2 linked regions of the Stegostoma tigrinum genome follow. The protein of the gene in region 2 purifies or fractionates together with the protein of the main gene of each other region. This does not show direct contact. Links are inferred from orthologs where the notes say so. Each region holds a gene or a part of one and is shown on either strand. Other genes may lie near its edges.

The links. The genes of interacting proteins can lie anywhere in the genome.
Region 1: the proteins of l3mbtl1 (region 2) and anapc1 purify together in Homo sapiens (affinity purification with mass spectrometry; 4 studies listed by BioGRID and IntAct, counting the BioPlex papers as one, with this or other methods). This does not show direct contact. The link is inferred for Stegostoma tigrinum from reciprocal best matches to the Homo sapiens genes L3MBTL1 and ANAPC1.

The regions. Positions count from the first base shown.
Region 1 is NC_081357.1:20,344,115-20,352,077, forward strand, and holds the start of anapc1 (anaphase-promoting complex subunit 1), read left to right. Parts: upstream 1-4,864; 5' UTR 4,865-5,018; intron 5,019-5,560; 5' UTR 5,561-5,584; coding exon 5,585-5,803; intron 5,804-7,963. UniProt on the Homo sapiens protein: Component of the anaphase promoting complex/cyclosome (APC/C), a cell cycle-regulated E3 ubiquitin ligase that controls progression through mitosis and the G1 phase of the cell cycle.
Region 2 is NC_081372.1:22,904,480-22,911,543, forward strand, and holds the start of l3mbtl1 (lethal(3)malignant brain tumor-like protein 1), read left to right. Parts: upstream 1-4,027; 5' UTR 4,028-4,100; intron 4,101-4,355; exon of another isoform or gene 4,356-4,601; intron 4,602-4,608; exon of another isoform or gene 4,609-4,672; intron 4,673-7,064. UniProt on the Homo sapiens protein: Polycomb group (PcG) protein that specifically recognizes and binds mono- and dimethyllysine residues on target proteins, thereby acting as a 'reader' of a network of post-translational modifications.

The sequences.
Region 1 (7,963 bases), on a different chromosome or scaffold from region 2:
TCACATTGAGAATACCTCCATCATGTTGTGTGGCACTATCACCGTATTAAATGGAACATATTTCAAACAGATCTAGCAACTCATGACTGGCCATCCACGATTGTGTGCCATCAACAACACCAGAATGGTACTCCAGCACAGTCTGCAACCCCATGGTCCAGCATATCCCCCATTGTCAAACCAGGGGACCAAACCTGCTTCAATGAGAGCACAGGAGAACATGCCAGGAGCAGCACCAGGCATACCTAAGCCTGAGGTGTCAAGCTAGACACTGATAAACAATTGCACAACCAATGGATCAGATCTAAGCTCTGCAGTCCTGCCACATCCTTTACAATTAACAGGAGGGGGAGGCTCCACGAATATCTCCATCCTCAATGATGGGGGATCTTCACACATCAGCATGAAAGCAAAAGCTGAAATGTTTGTTATTCTGCTTCAGCCAGCAGTGCCAAGTAGATGATCCATTTCAGCCTCTCCTTGAGGTCTCCAGCATCACAAATTGCAGGCTTTAGCCAATTTGCTTAACTCTACATGATCAAAAGAGCGCTGACAATATTACAGCAACACTGCTGAAGTCTGTAACACCAGAACTAGACGGTCTCTGAGCCAAGCTGTTCCAGTACGGCTGCAACACTGGCATCTACCTCGAAATGTGGAATATTGCCCAGCTATGTCCTGCATACAAAATAAAAGAGCAAAACCCAACCCATGCAATTACTGCTCCATCTGTCGACTTGCAATCATTAACAAAATGATGGAGGGTGTCATCCACAGTGCTATCGAGTAGCACTTGCTTAGCAGTAACCTGCTTAGTGATGCTCAGTTTGTGTTACCAATGACCACTCAGCTCCTGACCTGTTTTCAGTCTGAGTTCAAACATGGACCAAAGAGCCGAATTCCAGAGGTGAGGTGAGAGTGACTGCCCTTGATGTTAAGGCTGCATTTAACTGGGGACGGCATCTAAGAATCAGAGTCCTAGGAAAACAGGAATCAATGGAAATAGGGGGAAAACTCTCAGATGGTTGGAGTCATACCTGGAACATAAGAAGATAGCTGTAGTTGTTGGAGGGCAGTTATCTCAGCTCCAGGACATCTCAGCAGGAGTTCCTCAGGGTAGTGTCCATGGCCCAACCATCCACAGCTGCTTCACCAATGGTCTTCCCTCCTTCGTAAGGTCAGAAGTGGGGATGTTTGCCGATGAGTGCACAATGTTCAGCACCATTCACAACTCCTCAGATACTGCAGCAGTCCATGTTCAAATACAGCAAGACCTGGACAGTAGACAGGCTTGGGCTGTTGAGTGGAAAGAAACATTTGGCCCAGACAAGTACCAGGCAATATCCAATCCCAATAAGAGAGAATCCAATCATCTCCCCTTTGACCTTCAATGACATTACCATCACCATCGATATCCCGGGAGCCACCACTGACCAGAAACTGAACTGAACTCACCCTATAGATACTGTGGCCATAAGATCAGGTCAGGGGTTTGGGATTCTGTGGTGGGTGTCTCACTGCTCTGTCTCTTTGGAGATCATAAGGCATTGTACAATAAAAGACAGAAGAAGTGGTAGTGGTTATAACGTAGATAAGACATAGATTCAGTAGGGTTCTTGTTTGTACTCAGTAAGTTGCTGATTTTAGGTGGTTCAAATCACCCCCAGGTCATTAGGTTCTGACACTGGTCTTACTTAGGGAATGTGGAAGGAAGGAGGCATTAGACAGGTGTTTCAGGTCAAAAGAATCTCTGTGTTTATTTAAATATAAAAAAGGTAATTATGCTACAAGAAATATAGGTAAAAGCACTGAACAGTGAAATTAACACTCCCAAGTATACAGAGGACACTAATTAAATACACTATCAAATTAAACACAGACTAAACATTGTTAGAACCTAAACAGCAGTTTTAATCACAGAAATTTTAATCAGGCTTCCTACCCTTGGAGTCCCACACACTGCCACCACCTGCCTTCCCCTCCCTGCTAGCTAGATTGGAAACTTTGGGGTCTCTGGAGTTTAAGTTTGCCACGAAGGAAAATGCAGTTTTGAAGTACAGCTGGCTGTGGAGGTTCTTATTGTCAGTTCCCTTGGTTCAGAACAGGCTCATGTCCGGACGTTCTGCGTTGTCAAAACCATCAGATTTGCATAGAATTGGTTTTTGGTATCTAAGTGCCTGGTTCACATTGATTGGCTAAATTCAAAACTTGTCTTGGTAAAAGGTGCTGCCTGGCCTGCTAACTGTACGGCCTTATGATACAAATGTTTCAATTCGGGTGCTTTCTGTGTATGCGCAAACTTTCAAGCCGCTGCTCACAGGTATCCATTTTAAATCTCTCAGTGCAGCAAAAGCACATAATCTTTTAAAGGGACCACACAATGCTTCCTGTGCCCCCTCCAGCATTTTACAAACACCAAATTCTAACTTCCTACCTCCCAATCTACAAGTGCTCTACCCAACTTCGCAACACTAAGGAACTACTACGTATGCATAATTTCTTCAGTATAAATTAGACCCACAGAGTCTGCGGCAGCTTCAGTTTGCCCAGAATACTGACAGAGCTGAAATAGTGTATAAGGAGAATGCGGGATCTGTTTGACTCATTCAAGTGGGAGCCCATTGCTCTAGCAGAAGATTTGACCTTAGTTGAAGTTTGGAACTGATGTATGTGAGTTACATGGCTAAGCCCTTCTCATGGCTAGAACAAAGAACAAAGAAAATTACAGCACAGGAATAGGCCATTCGGCCCTCCAAACCTGCACCGATCCACATCCTCTATCTAAACCTGTCACCTATTTTCCAAGATAGTAGGAATCGCAGATGCTGGAGAATCTGAGATAACAAGGTGCAGAGCTGGATGAACACAGCAGGCCAAGCAGCATCAGAGGAGCAGGAGGATCTGATGCTACTTGGCCTGCTGTGTTCATCCAGCTCTACACCTTGTTATCTTACCTATTTTCCAAGGATCTGTATCCCTCTGCTCCCTGCCCATTCATGTATCTGTCTAGATACATCTTAAATGAAGCTATCATGCCCGCCTCTACCACCTCCGCTGGCAATGTATTCCAGGCACCCAACACCCTCTGCGTAAAGAACTTGCCACACATATCTCCCTTAAACTTTTCCTCTCACACCTTGAAATCGTGACCCTCCAGTAATTGAGTCCCCCACTCTGGGAAAAATCTTCTTGCTATCCACCCTGTATGTACCTCTCCTGATTTTGTAGACCTCACTCAGGTCCCCCCTCAAACTCTGTCTTGCATGTAAATAATCCGAATCTACTCAACCTCTCTTCATAGCTAGTGCCCTCCATAGCAGGCAACATCCTGGTGAACCTCCTCTGCACCGTCTCCAAAGCATCCACATCCTTTTGGTAATGTGGCGACCAGAACTGTACGCAATATTCCAAATGTGGTCAAACCAAAGTCCTACACAACTGTAACATGACCTGTCAATTCTTGTACTCAATACCCTGTCCGATGAATGAAAGCATGCCGTCTGCCTTCTTGACCACTCTATTCACCTGTTTCGCCACCTTCAAGGTACAATGGCCCTGGACACCCAGATCTCTCTGTTCATCAATTTTCCCCAGGGCTTTTCCATTTACTGTGTAGTTCGCTCAAACTATGGCAACTATTAGACTAAGACAACACTTTCTTGATTGGGCATGGTATCATTTCAATTGCTCCATGCAGCATCCTATGAAAAATCAAACTAATTCTTGTTGTAGCCTATTAGATTTAGATTTAGCCTATCAGACATCACAAAATCAGATAATAGTCTACAGTTCACTCCAGAAGAATGGATGAAGTGTGGGCATATTAGGCTTTCTAGCTGTGATACATTTGACACAAAAGAGAGATTGAAGGGAAAAGTCCTGCGGAGACAAAGGACTGTGCTTTAAAGACAAGAAAATGTGAGGCTGGTTGAACACAGCAGGCCAAGCAGCATCTCAGGAGCACAAAAGCTGACGTTTCGGGCCTAGACCCTTCATCAGAGAGGGGGATGGGGAGAGGGAACTGGAATAAATAGGGAGAGAGGGGGAGGCGGACCAAAGATGGAGAGTAAAGAAGATAGGTGGAGAGAGTATAGGTGGGGAGGTAGGGAGGGGATAGGTCAGTCCAGGGAAGACGGACAGGTCAAGGAGGTGGGATGAGGTTAGTAGGTAGATGGGGGTGTGGCTTGGGGTGGGAGGAAGGGATGGGTGAGAGGAAGAACCGGTTAGGGAGGCAGAGACAGGTTGGACTGGTATTGGGATGCAGTGGGTGGGGGGGAAGAGCTGGGCTGGTTGTGTGGTGCAGTGGGGGGAGGGGACGAACTGGGCTGGTTGAGGGATGCAGTAGGGGAAGGGGAGATTTTGAAACTGGTGAAGTCCACATTGATACCATTAGGCTGCAGGGTTCCCAGGCAGAATATGAGTTGCTGTTCCTGCAACCTTCGGGTGGCATCATTGTGGCAGTGCAGGAGGCCCATGATGGACATGTCATCTAAAGAATGGGAGGGGGAGTGGAAATGGTTTGCGACTGGGAGGTGCAGTTGTTTGTTGCGAACTGAGCGGAGGTGTTCTGCAAAGCGGTCTCCAAGCCTCCGCTTGGTTTCCCCAATGCAGAGAAGCCACACCGGGTACAGTGGATGCAGTATACCACATTGGCAGATGTGCAGGTGAACCTCTGCTTGATGTGGATTCCACATCTGCAGTTCCCATTATCACTGTGCTTTAAAGATTGCTTTAGGCCAGATGTACCAACCTCTCAGAGAAACTGGAGATGGAGCAGGTACATTTCGCCAGGCCCCCGGGAGATGGCGCTCTGTCACCAGGCTCGAATGCGCTGGCGCGTATTCAGCGCAGTGACTGATGGGAGTTCAAGATGGCGACGCCCATCTGATTCTTCAAATCGGAGTTTAAGTGAATTTTGCTTTTGGCGCGGATTCGGAGCAAAAACCAAATCCCCGGATTTTGGAGGCGGATGGTCGCAGAGAAACCGTCATTAGAAGTTTCACTCGTTATTTTAACAGGTCGGTTCGGTCGTCTTTTATTAATAATAATGACCTGAAATATTCTCATCATTCCCCGATTTCCTTCTTTACCCCAGTGACCCCCTTCACCCGGTTGTACCCCCCCGCCCCACACCCTCCCACGCCCCACCCTACGCCAAATATCCCACCCCACCCCACCCCAACCCAATGTCTCTTCCTCCATTGCTCCCACCTCACCTGACTCCCCCTTTGCCCCACACTCTCCCCATCTCCTGCTCCACTCCCATATCTCCTCCACAACCTGAAATCTCTCACTTCTCGTTATCTCCTTTGGCTCCCCTTCTTCTGCATCAAGAGTTGAGTTATTTTGTTCTGAAGAAGTGTCAATGGACTCAATGTTAGTTCTGTTTCTCTGCTCACAGATCTTGCCAGACTTGCTGAGTTTCTCCTGCACTTAGTGTTTGTTTCAGATCTCCAGCGACTTCAGTTCTTTGATTTATTTTATTTGAGTTACATTGCTGTCTGCACAGCACTTGCTTTGAATTTTAGTTTTTCTTAAGTCGTTGCTTTTCTTCAAGCAGAAATAATGCTGATATCTGGAACCCATGTCGAACGTCTGTGAAGAGAGGGTAACAATGATTGCAGCAGGGGAAATGCAGGAGTTTGTTCCGTTCGGCCGTGACCACTGCAGGCGCCACCCTAATGCCACAAATCTTCAGCTTCGGCAGCTGCAGCCTGCTTCAGAACTGTGGTCCTCTGATGGTGACGCAGGATTGGTGGGATCACTGAGAGAAGTTACAATCCATGAGAAACAGAAGGTGCAGGTTTGAAACTCTCATCTGAAATTATCAGTAACCTCTAAAATGAAGAGCTGACATGTTCTGCAGTAGGTTGCCAAAGACTTTATAATAAAGATTTTGAATTTTCCAAGTTACAGTTGAACTTGTACACATGGATTTTGGGGAATCATCAAAAGGATATTGGGTGGGAAAATGACTAGTAATAGAAATAAATTCTACTTATATTGCCTCTTTCACAACTTCAGTCCCCTGCATCATTGTACACCCAATGTCATCTTGCTCTATAGGAATTATTGCATCCAGTGTACAAACAAGATTTCATAAACATGGTCAGGTAATCGTAGAAGTTCGTAGAATCCCTACAGTGTTGAAACAGGCCCTTCGGCCCAACAAGTCCACACCGACCCTCGGGTCACCCGTCCAAATCCATCCCTCTATAACCCACCTAATCTGCACATCCCTGAACACTATGGGCATTTAGCATAGCCAATCCATCTAGCCTGCAAATCTTTGGACTGTGGGAGGAAACCGGAGCACCCGGAGGAAACCCACGCAGACACTGGGAGAATGTGCAAACTCCACACAGACGGTTACCCGAGGCTGGAATTGAACCCGGGTCCCTGGTGCTGTGAGGCAGCACTGCTAACCACCGTGTCACCCTTAAGAATGGCTGGTTTAGCAACATTGGCTGAGGGATAAATGTTGGCCAGGAAATTCGTGAGAACTGTCCTGCTCCTCTCAGAAGAGTCACAGGGTCTTTTGTGTGCGCACCTGAGAGAGTGCTTTGGCTTAACAGCTCATCGGACCACTCAGACCCTGGATTCCAGCATTTCCTCAGTGCTGTGCTGAAGTGCCATCAACAATTTGTGCACACCTTGCTGGAGTGGACTTGAATTCTCAACCTTCTGACTCAGAATGTGCCAGTACTATTCCACGGCTGAAGTGCATCTGAGGCTTCAGTGCCCCAAGAATAATAGATAATAACACAAAAATAGGTGGAAAGGCAAGTTTCAGGAGACACTCAGACATTTTACAAAAAGATAGTTATACATGAAGTGGACAAGGAAATTGTAATACTTGTGCACACAATGCACAAAGCTAGCACCAGGTGCAGCGGGGTAATCAGGAAGGGAAATGGAATGTTGGCCCTTATTTCAAAAGGATTGGGATATGAGAGTAGGGAAGTCTTTTTTGCAGCTGAACAAGGTGCTGATGAGACCCCAACTGGAGTACTGAGAGCAGTTTTGGTTCCCTTATTTAAGAGATACCATTTCATTGGAGGAATTTGCGAAGGTTCACAGGGATGACCCCCAGCACAGAGGAATTGTCTTATTAGCAAAGATCAAACAGGTTGGGACTCTACTCACTGGAGTTTAGAAAAATGAGAGAAGATCACGTTGAAATCAATATGAATTTTTCAGCGCTTGGCAGGGTAAATGCTGAGAGGGTGTTTCCTCTCATTGGAGAGCCTCAGACCAGTAGGCATAGTCGACTTAAGACTGAGCTGAGGAGGAATTTCTTCTCTGAGAGGGTTGAGTGTCTTTGGAGTGCCACAGAGAGCTGTGAGGGCAGAGTCTTTGTGCATATTTAAGGCTGAGATAGGTTGTTAATTAGTTGGGCAATCCAGGGTTACAGGAAAATGGAAGTGAGGCATGTTGAATCAGCCACAATTCTGTTGAATGGCATAGCAGATTTGAGGGGCTGAATGGCCTACTTCTGAGGGGAGAATATAAAAGAAGTTCAGAATTTTGAAAACATATCCAAGAGTTGACCACATTTTGCCCTGATACATTTAACCTCGGGTGGGTGACTGTCTGTCTGGAGTTTGCACGTTCTCCCTGTGTCTGTTTGGGTTCCTTTGGGTGCTCCAGTTTTGCCCCACAGTCCAAAGATGTGCTGGTTTAAGTGGATTTGCCATGCTAAACTGCCCTGTACTGCCCAGGGGTGCGTAGCCGAAGTGGATTAGCCATGGGAAATGCAGGGTTAGGGTGGAGGGTGGGTTGTGGTAGGATGCTCTTTGGAGGGTTGCTGTGAGCTTGATGGGCTGAGTGGCCTTCATCCATGCTGTATGGATTCCATGATTCTTCTTGCTGCTGCACAGTGCAAGTGGCAACAGGCCAAATGTCTCACCTTGGCCCCCTTCGTATTTTACATCTACATGCAACTCCTTGGTAGTATGTGTGG
Region 2 (7,064 bases):
TCGCAATTATGTTGGCAACAAGTGATTTATAGAGTGGAGGGAAAACTTGTGTTTTTAAGAGAAATTTGTGCCTCCTTGTTTTGTACTAAAATTTGGAAAACTCTGGTTTGAATTTTTGTATTTTAAAAGTTTTTAGCAGCATCAATTTCCAACCTAGCAATGTGCTGCTGTGTACAGCAAAAAACAATTCAGTTGTTTAAGATTCTGCAAAAATTAAGTTTGTTTTTTCCATTTTATTCTTGGGATTTGGGTTTTACTGGTAATGTTAATGTTTTATATTGTCTGTACCTCCATTTCCTGAGAAAGTTGAAGCCCCTGTCGAAGTACTGAACTCTAAAGAAGCAGCTATATTACTGCTATGTTAGGAGTTCAAGAATGTTGATCCTTTGAGAAGGAAGGGACAGTCATATGCCCAAGTCTGGATGGGGTGAATCTTAGGAGCTTTTGGCTATCTCTCGTAGGGTGATGGCATATTTATGTAGTATTCTTTAAGAAAAAGTTTTCCAAATTGCTGCAGTGAAGGCGTGCACACTAGCCAAATGTCAGTAATGGGTGTATAGGTGAGTGCATGAAGCACTGATTAAACTGCGTCTTTTGGGGCAGTTTGCAGTTGTATTCATCTGAACAAATGGTCAGTGTACTTCATATTTTGACCAATGCCTCATTAATAGTACAACAATTTTGGGCAGCCACTTACTGCAGGATACCCAGCTTTTGATTCTAAGTAGCAGGGTAATTTTGTGGGTAACTGAACAAGATTTTTTGGCTTAATGCTGGAAACCCCTCTTCCATTTGGCATATTGCTGGAGGAGTCAGAGGTCTACAGCACAGAACAAGATCCTTTGGCCCATCAGGTCTGTGTGAGCCAAAACTTACCACCTAACTATTTTAATCTCACTTTTCCTGCATTTGGCTCTTATCGATACGGTATTGAGAAATTGTTTGATTTTGGGATGGTCATTCAAAGCATTTGCAAAGTGTGAATTGTGAGATGTTGCTTTCTTTTTGTAAGCAGTGAATATGTTTGGATTTACACAGCTGCCTGGGTGAAGTCACATTTCCTGTGGGTGCATTATAAATGTGTGATAAACAAGGTAGACAGCTGCCTTCACTGGCTTAGAAAGAAGTTAATTTCGATGGTAAAACGTATACTAAAAGGACACATGCATGAAAATGTTTTTTTTTGTTCAAGATTGAATATGATTTGCTCCTAAATGATTATTTTTTTTTCCCCCCTATTTGGATTAGCTATCAGCACCAACTGGGAACTGCAAGTGGATCTTTGTGGCAGACTTGTATTTGGAATAGTTACCTAAGCATGTGAGAAAAATTGAAAAATACAGGGAAGATGTCAGTTTTTGTAAAGAAGAAAAATTAACAATCTGCTCCAGGCTTTTTGAGTGTATTTGTTAGGTTGTAGATAGTCAGATACAATAAAGTTTTTCTGACTGTACCCTCTGTACAACTATAATAAGCTCTCAAACTGAAACTGCACTAAACTTTCTAAATGCTGCTGCTTGTAGCTACTGCCAGGAGATCTGCTGTCATGTCATACCTGTTTGTCTTATGCCATCCTCACATGTTTGCTGTAGCTCATCTCTGTCCACTCTGATGCCCACATCAAATTCCACCTATGTTGACCCTTTATTGCTCTCAAGGAGGGATCTCTGATATTTGGCTCTGATGAAATGGCTAAAATAATGACTTTTTCTTGATAATTAATGGAGTCTATTTTGTGCTCGTAATATTAAGTTGCAATTGTCATGTGGAATTTTTCTAAATCGGAAGTACTAATTTAAATTCAAAAGTTAGTCCTAAAATGACTTGCAAGAACGGATGTGTGGTCAGAATGCTTCAAAGAATTCAAACAATAAGAATTTATTCATGATCCAAGTAGACAAGGTTTTCTGGCTGTTCCGCAAAGGTTGGAAGTTATTGAAAAGTGTAGACGTTCATTGAAATATCAACTTTTGCTAAATAACAATTAGTTCAAACAGGTGAAAATTTGTGTATGGTGTGATAGTTTTCTTTTTATAAAAAATGCAGTTTAACTTCGTGGAAAGAGAAGAACACATGTCTTTCTAGAGATAGACTCCAGGAACCAAACCTAATCTAACTTGCATGTTAGGTTGACAGCTGACAGCTGTGTGCATTTAATGATGTTTTACATCTTGTTAAAATGCGTCCATGTCTTTTGAGTTACAAAGGAAAATACCTGTTCAAAAGAAAGCAATAATAATTACACAACATTTTATTCTTTTTGCAGTCATTAAATTATAGATTTGAAATTGCTAAGATATTTTACTTCTAAGAATGTTTGCAGTTTCAAGCAGACGGCAAAACCTGCAGAAGCTTCTCATTGCATTTGGTTGTTTAGCATCTGGGTGGAGTGTTCACTTTGGCAGAAAAATACAAGTCAACCGTGTCCTGCACATATTAGAAAATTGTAGGCAAGGACTGTAAACGTGGATGCTGAAGGCTTTAAAAAAAACAATGGACTGAAGTTTCTCAGATTTTAGCTTTTTTTTAAGAATGTGACTCATGTTACTCCAGCCTGTAATAAAGGACGATGACTTTTCTCATGCATTTTTTTTGTATTATGTAAGTGGTTTCTTCAGTGGCCATCTTGTGGTGGAAGAAGTGAAAGTGTTCATTTACTACCCAGACTTCAGATGTTGTATATCGTGACACTGTGGTCCTGTACTGTAATCCCAGAGGAAGTGGTCCAGATTGAAAAGTTTGCTTTTCCTTAGTTCACTGTCGAGGATCTGGAGGTGAAGTGGTGGAAAGGGAGGCAGTTTTTGTTTTTGGCTCTAAAAGACCCTACATCACCAGAGTCAGCCAGCCTGAACAGAAGTAGCAGTCAGCACTTGCTGCAATAGCCCAAGTGAAACAATGCACAGCATTGCAGAACAAACGTTAATGATCTGTGCTCCATAAGAGTAATTGCTACCATCTTCTGTTTGCCATCTTATGCTCACAAGGCTACCATTTGCTATAATTCTGCCACTGCACACATCTCGCCAAATTTCAGGGACTACGGTGTTCATTATTGCATGGCCAATCAAGGGCTCTGTCAGTATCTACTATTCCAGCTGTCCATGTTTCCCATATATTCACTGGGGACACCCCACTATCTCTTTTGCTCCTACACTGCCACTAATTTCTCTTTCATTCACTATCATCATACTCAGTCTCCCCTTTTGTTTAATCGTAGGAGACATTGATTTACAGGAATTAAAGGATTGATGTACTAGTTGTTCATGACCTGCAGGACTAACCTAACACTGCACTAGATTTAGACATGTCCCTTGACCTACTGCAGCAGTATCACCTGAGTGACCAGGGAGAAGCATTTAAGTCGTGTGTCTGACCTCCTGACTGAAGTTTTGAAGGTCAGAAGTTGATCTAAGAGCATACAAGCATCATAGTATGCAGAGTTTGGTGGCTTGCTGATGCCTGACTGGCTTGGATGAAGGGAAGAGAATGGCACCCATTGGAGTATTTAGGAACATTATGGTGAAAGCAGAGTTTGATTAAGGCTCAGAGAAAAGCAAGCTGTGACTTACTGTTGCTAGATCATTTTTCTGACTTTCACATCAGGATTTGGTGCTGCCTAGTTCCTTGGGGAAAGATAGCAAAATGGGAAGCTGTGGAATTGAGATGAAATAGACCATGAATGTGATGCAAGTGATGGAAATAGGTCAGTCACTAGCTACTAGTGAAATTTGTAACTTGCAATTTGAACCTTAAGCAGGAAATCAAAAGTATTGTTCTTGACATCGAGATTCTGAATTTAAAAATGTTTTGCCCTATATTCCCACATTTCCTGCCCATGCTGCATGGGTGGGGGGAGAGGGGAGAACTGGAAAAATTCTAATGCTTCTAAGAAATAGACTGAAGTATCAAAAAAAGTATTAGAAGGAAACAAACAGTTAAAAAAAAACCCTGTTGGTGAATGAAGATGAAACCCTTAAGTGTACCAGAAATTATGCAAAAAACTGGAGGATCTGCAGAAAGAGGGTAACAGGTACTGAGAGCATTGCACATGCGCAATCTCATCCCTCAGCCCGCAGCTAAGACGCGTGAATATTGTATTGGTAAGAAAACCAATTATTTCACTATTAGTAAAATATCGTAAATGACTTCAGTGGGGCAAAAAAAGACAAGATCCCAAGAGGGCAAATAGCGTCACCCTTTAGTTAACATCTATTTCGGTATATTCCTGCCAAATTAATTCATTGCCTCTCAGTTGCATTCTGTTTTTACCGCGGGTGTCAGTTTTTAACTAAATATCATGTATATTTACGTGAGGGAGTCAGGAAATCGATGGGAACTCCGCACACATTCGCTTCAGAAGCGCCGCGCAGTGTGTGCGGTAGCAATTTGCGAATTTGATACCTTTTTCATTGCAACTTTCTAGTTAACTGTATCTCTGCCTAGAATTAAAGGCGTACATTAGGGAAAGACAAGCGGGGGCTCAGAGGCGGTGGATCCACCTCTAGTATCTCAATTCAGGGTGTTCATATGTATCTAAGTGTATCCCACTGAATTTTGCTGTGGCTTCTGTTCTCTGGCTCGCTGTCAGCTCCGCCATTTTGGTAAGAAATAAAACCTAGTGTTTGGATTTATTAGTCAATAAAAATGAATGGACGTGACATTCCCCGCTCAGGTAAATCTGAATATCATGATCTATTCTGTTAATTGATTTATCATGATCACATTCACAGGAATGGCAAGATTGAAGCCATTTAAACTGCAGTGATTTAATGACCTGTTTAGTCTTTGCTTTAACTAGAATTATTTTCAGCCGCCTTTTCGGATCATTTCAGGCAGGGTGTGAAATATACTTATTCAAAAATAGTAATAATTAGCCTTCAATTTCAGAAATCCGGTGAAGAAATATTTGATTTGTCCAGCAATATTTATTTATCGTACGCTGGAAATAAAGTGCACGTTGATAATGACAAGCAATATATTTTAAACTTAATTCATGCCCCGTGCATTATTTATACAACGAAAGGGAAAAGAGATTTAGTGCACGTCGAACATCATCTCATTCGATAGAGCAATGTAATGTGGCTTCACACCGACATATACCAGATTAAGCAAATAAGGTTAACTAAATTTCTTGAATTATTGTAATACTTTTTAAAATTGCTGTATTTTAACAGAACACATTTATAAGCCTCAATTGCAATTCTGAAATTTCCCTTGTGGCCAACTAAATCTCGTAATAATTGATTATAAACTAATCGGCAAAGTGGAAAACAAAGATTTGTTTACTTCACAGAAATGGACATGATAGCTAGACAAAACTGTGATAAAATAATGAAATAGGGCAGTGTTATTGATAAGCATTTACTTTTTAGGCAAATAGTTATACCATTTTGTTGGATAGAAAAAGAGGGAGAAATAAAACATGACTTGTCAACAATGGAAATCTGACTTTTTTTGAAAAACTGGAAATCGTCAACAGTTCAGTCAGTATCTGTGGAGGTAAAAACAGCATTACTATTTGGGTTGACCGTCTTTTATTGCAACTGGAAGATGTTGGAAATATTTTAAATTAGCTGATGATTTAATGCTTGTGGTGTAATTAAGAGCGTAATATCACCCAACTTTGTCCCTGCATCAACTGCTTTGCTACTAAAATCCTCATTCATGTCTTTGTTACCTCTAGACTTGAGTGTTTCAATGCAGTACTGGCTGATATCCCACATTCTACCCTTTGTAAACTTGATGTTATTACAAACTTTTTGTCTTGCAAAAGCCTCCAATTCCTTATGAATCGCATTGGTTCCTGATCAAGCAAGGCTTAATTCTTTATTTTCAAATTCTTACATGACCTCCTGTCTCCCTAGTTCCTTAATTTCCACCAGGCCAACAAAATTCTGAGGTATCTGTGCTCTTCTAATTCTGGCCATATAATTCTGAGTTTTAATACAGTTTCAATTACTGTACCTTAGGAGGTTGTGCATTCACTTGTGAGGCTGCAAGCTGCAGAATACTCTCCCTACTTCATAGAATCCCTACAGTGTGGAAACAGGCCCTTCGGTCCAACAAGTCCATATCGAACCTCGGAGCATCCCACCCAGACCCATCCCCTTTAACTCACCTAATCGACACCTCCCTAAACACTATGGGCAATTTTAGCATCGCCAATCCACCTCACTTGCACACCTTTAGACTGTGCAACGAAACCGGAGCACCCAGAGGAAACCCATGCAAACACAGGGACAATGTGCAAGCCCCACATAGACAGTCACCCGAGCCTGGAATTGAACCCAGGTCCCTGGTGCTGTGAGGCAGCAGTGCTCGTGCTACCTCATCTCTCTACCCTGCTCTTGTTAACTCCTTAAAATGACTCCTTTTGTCCTCACTATTGGTCATCTGATCCTACGTGACTTGGCACTATAATCCTGTGGAATACCTTGGGACTTTTTGTTATCAATTCTCTATAATGTAATTTGCTGGTTGTTGGGGAAATGATGTTGCAGGTGACCAAGAAAGGAGGCAAAGGGAGAGTGAGTAGAGTGATTAAATGGCAAAATTGATGGAAATGACAAGGTAAAACAAACTGAGAGTGAGACTGTTGAACAGACAAAAGATCAGTGTTAATGGGTAAAGGGTAAGAGAGGAGGAGGGATACATGGTAAATCTGGCATAAGAAGGAGTTTATGGCCCAGGTGGAAAGAAAAGGCAGAGATAAATGTCAGGAGTGAATCCTGCTTGAAATGCATCTGTACATCCTTCCAATACAAATACTAGTCCGCAGTTCCTCCAGTGGCGGTGGTGCTGAGGCAGGCATCCTCCATTATCACACCTGCTGTCTCAGACAAACTTGAAGCAGTTGTTAAAATTGTTAAACTCATTGTGAGATAGTCAGAAGGCTGCTTTTTATACAGTAAAAAGATGAGGTGCTGTTCCTCAAATTTATATTGTGTATTGTTGGTGAAAAGAAACATAAAGAGACACACATATAAATCTTTTCATTTATATGGTTCTTTTCATGACCTCATGGTATCCCAATGCACTTTAAGCCAGTTAAGCAATCCTCAGTC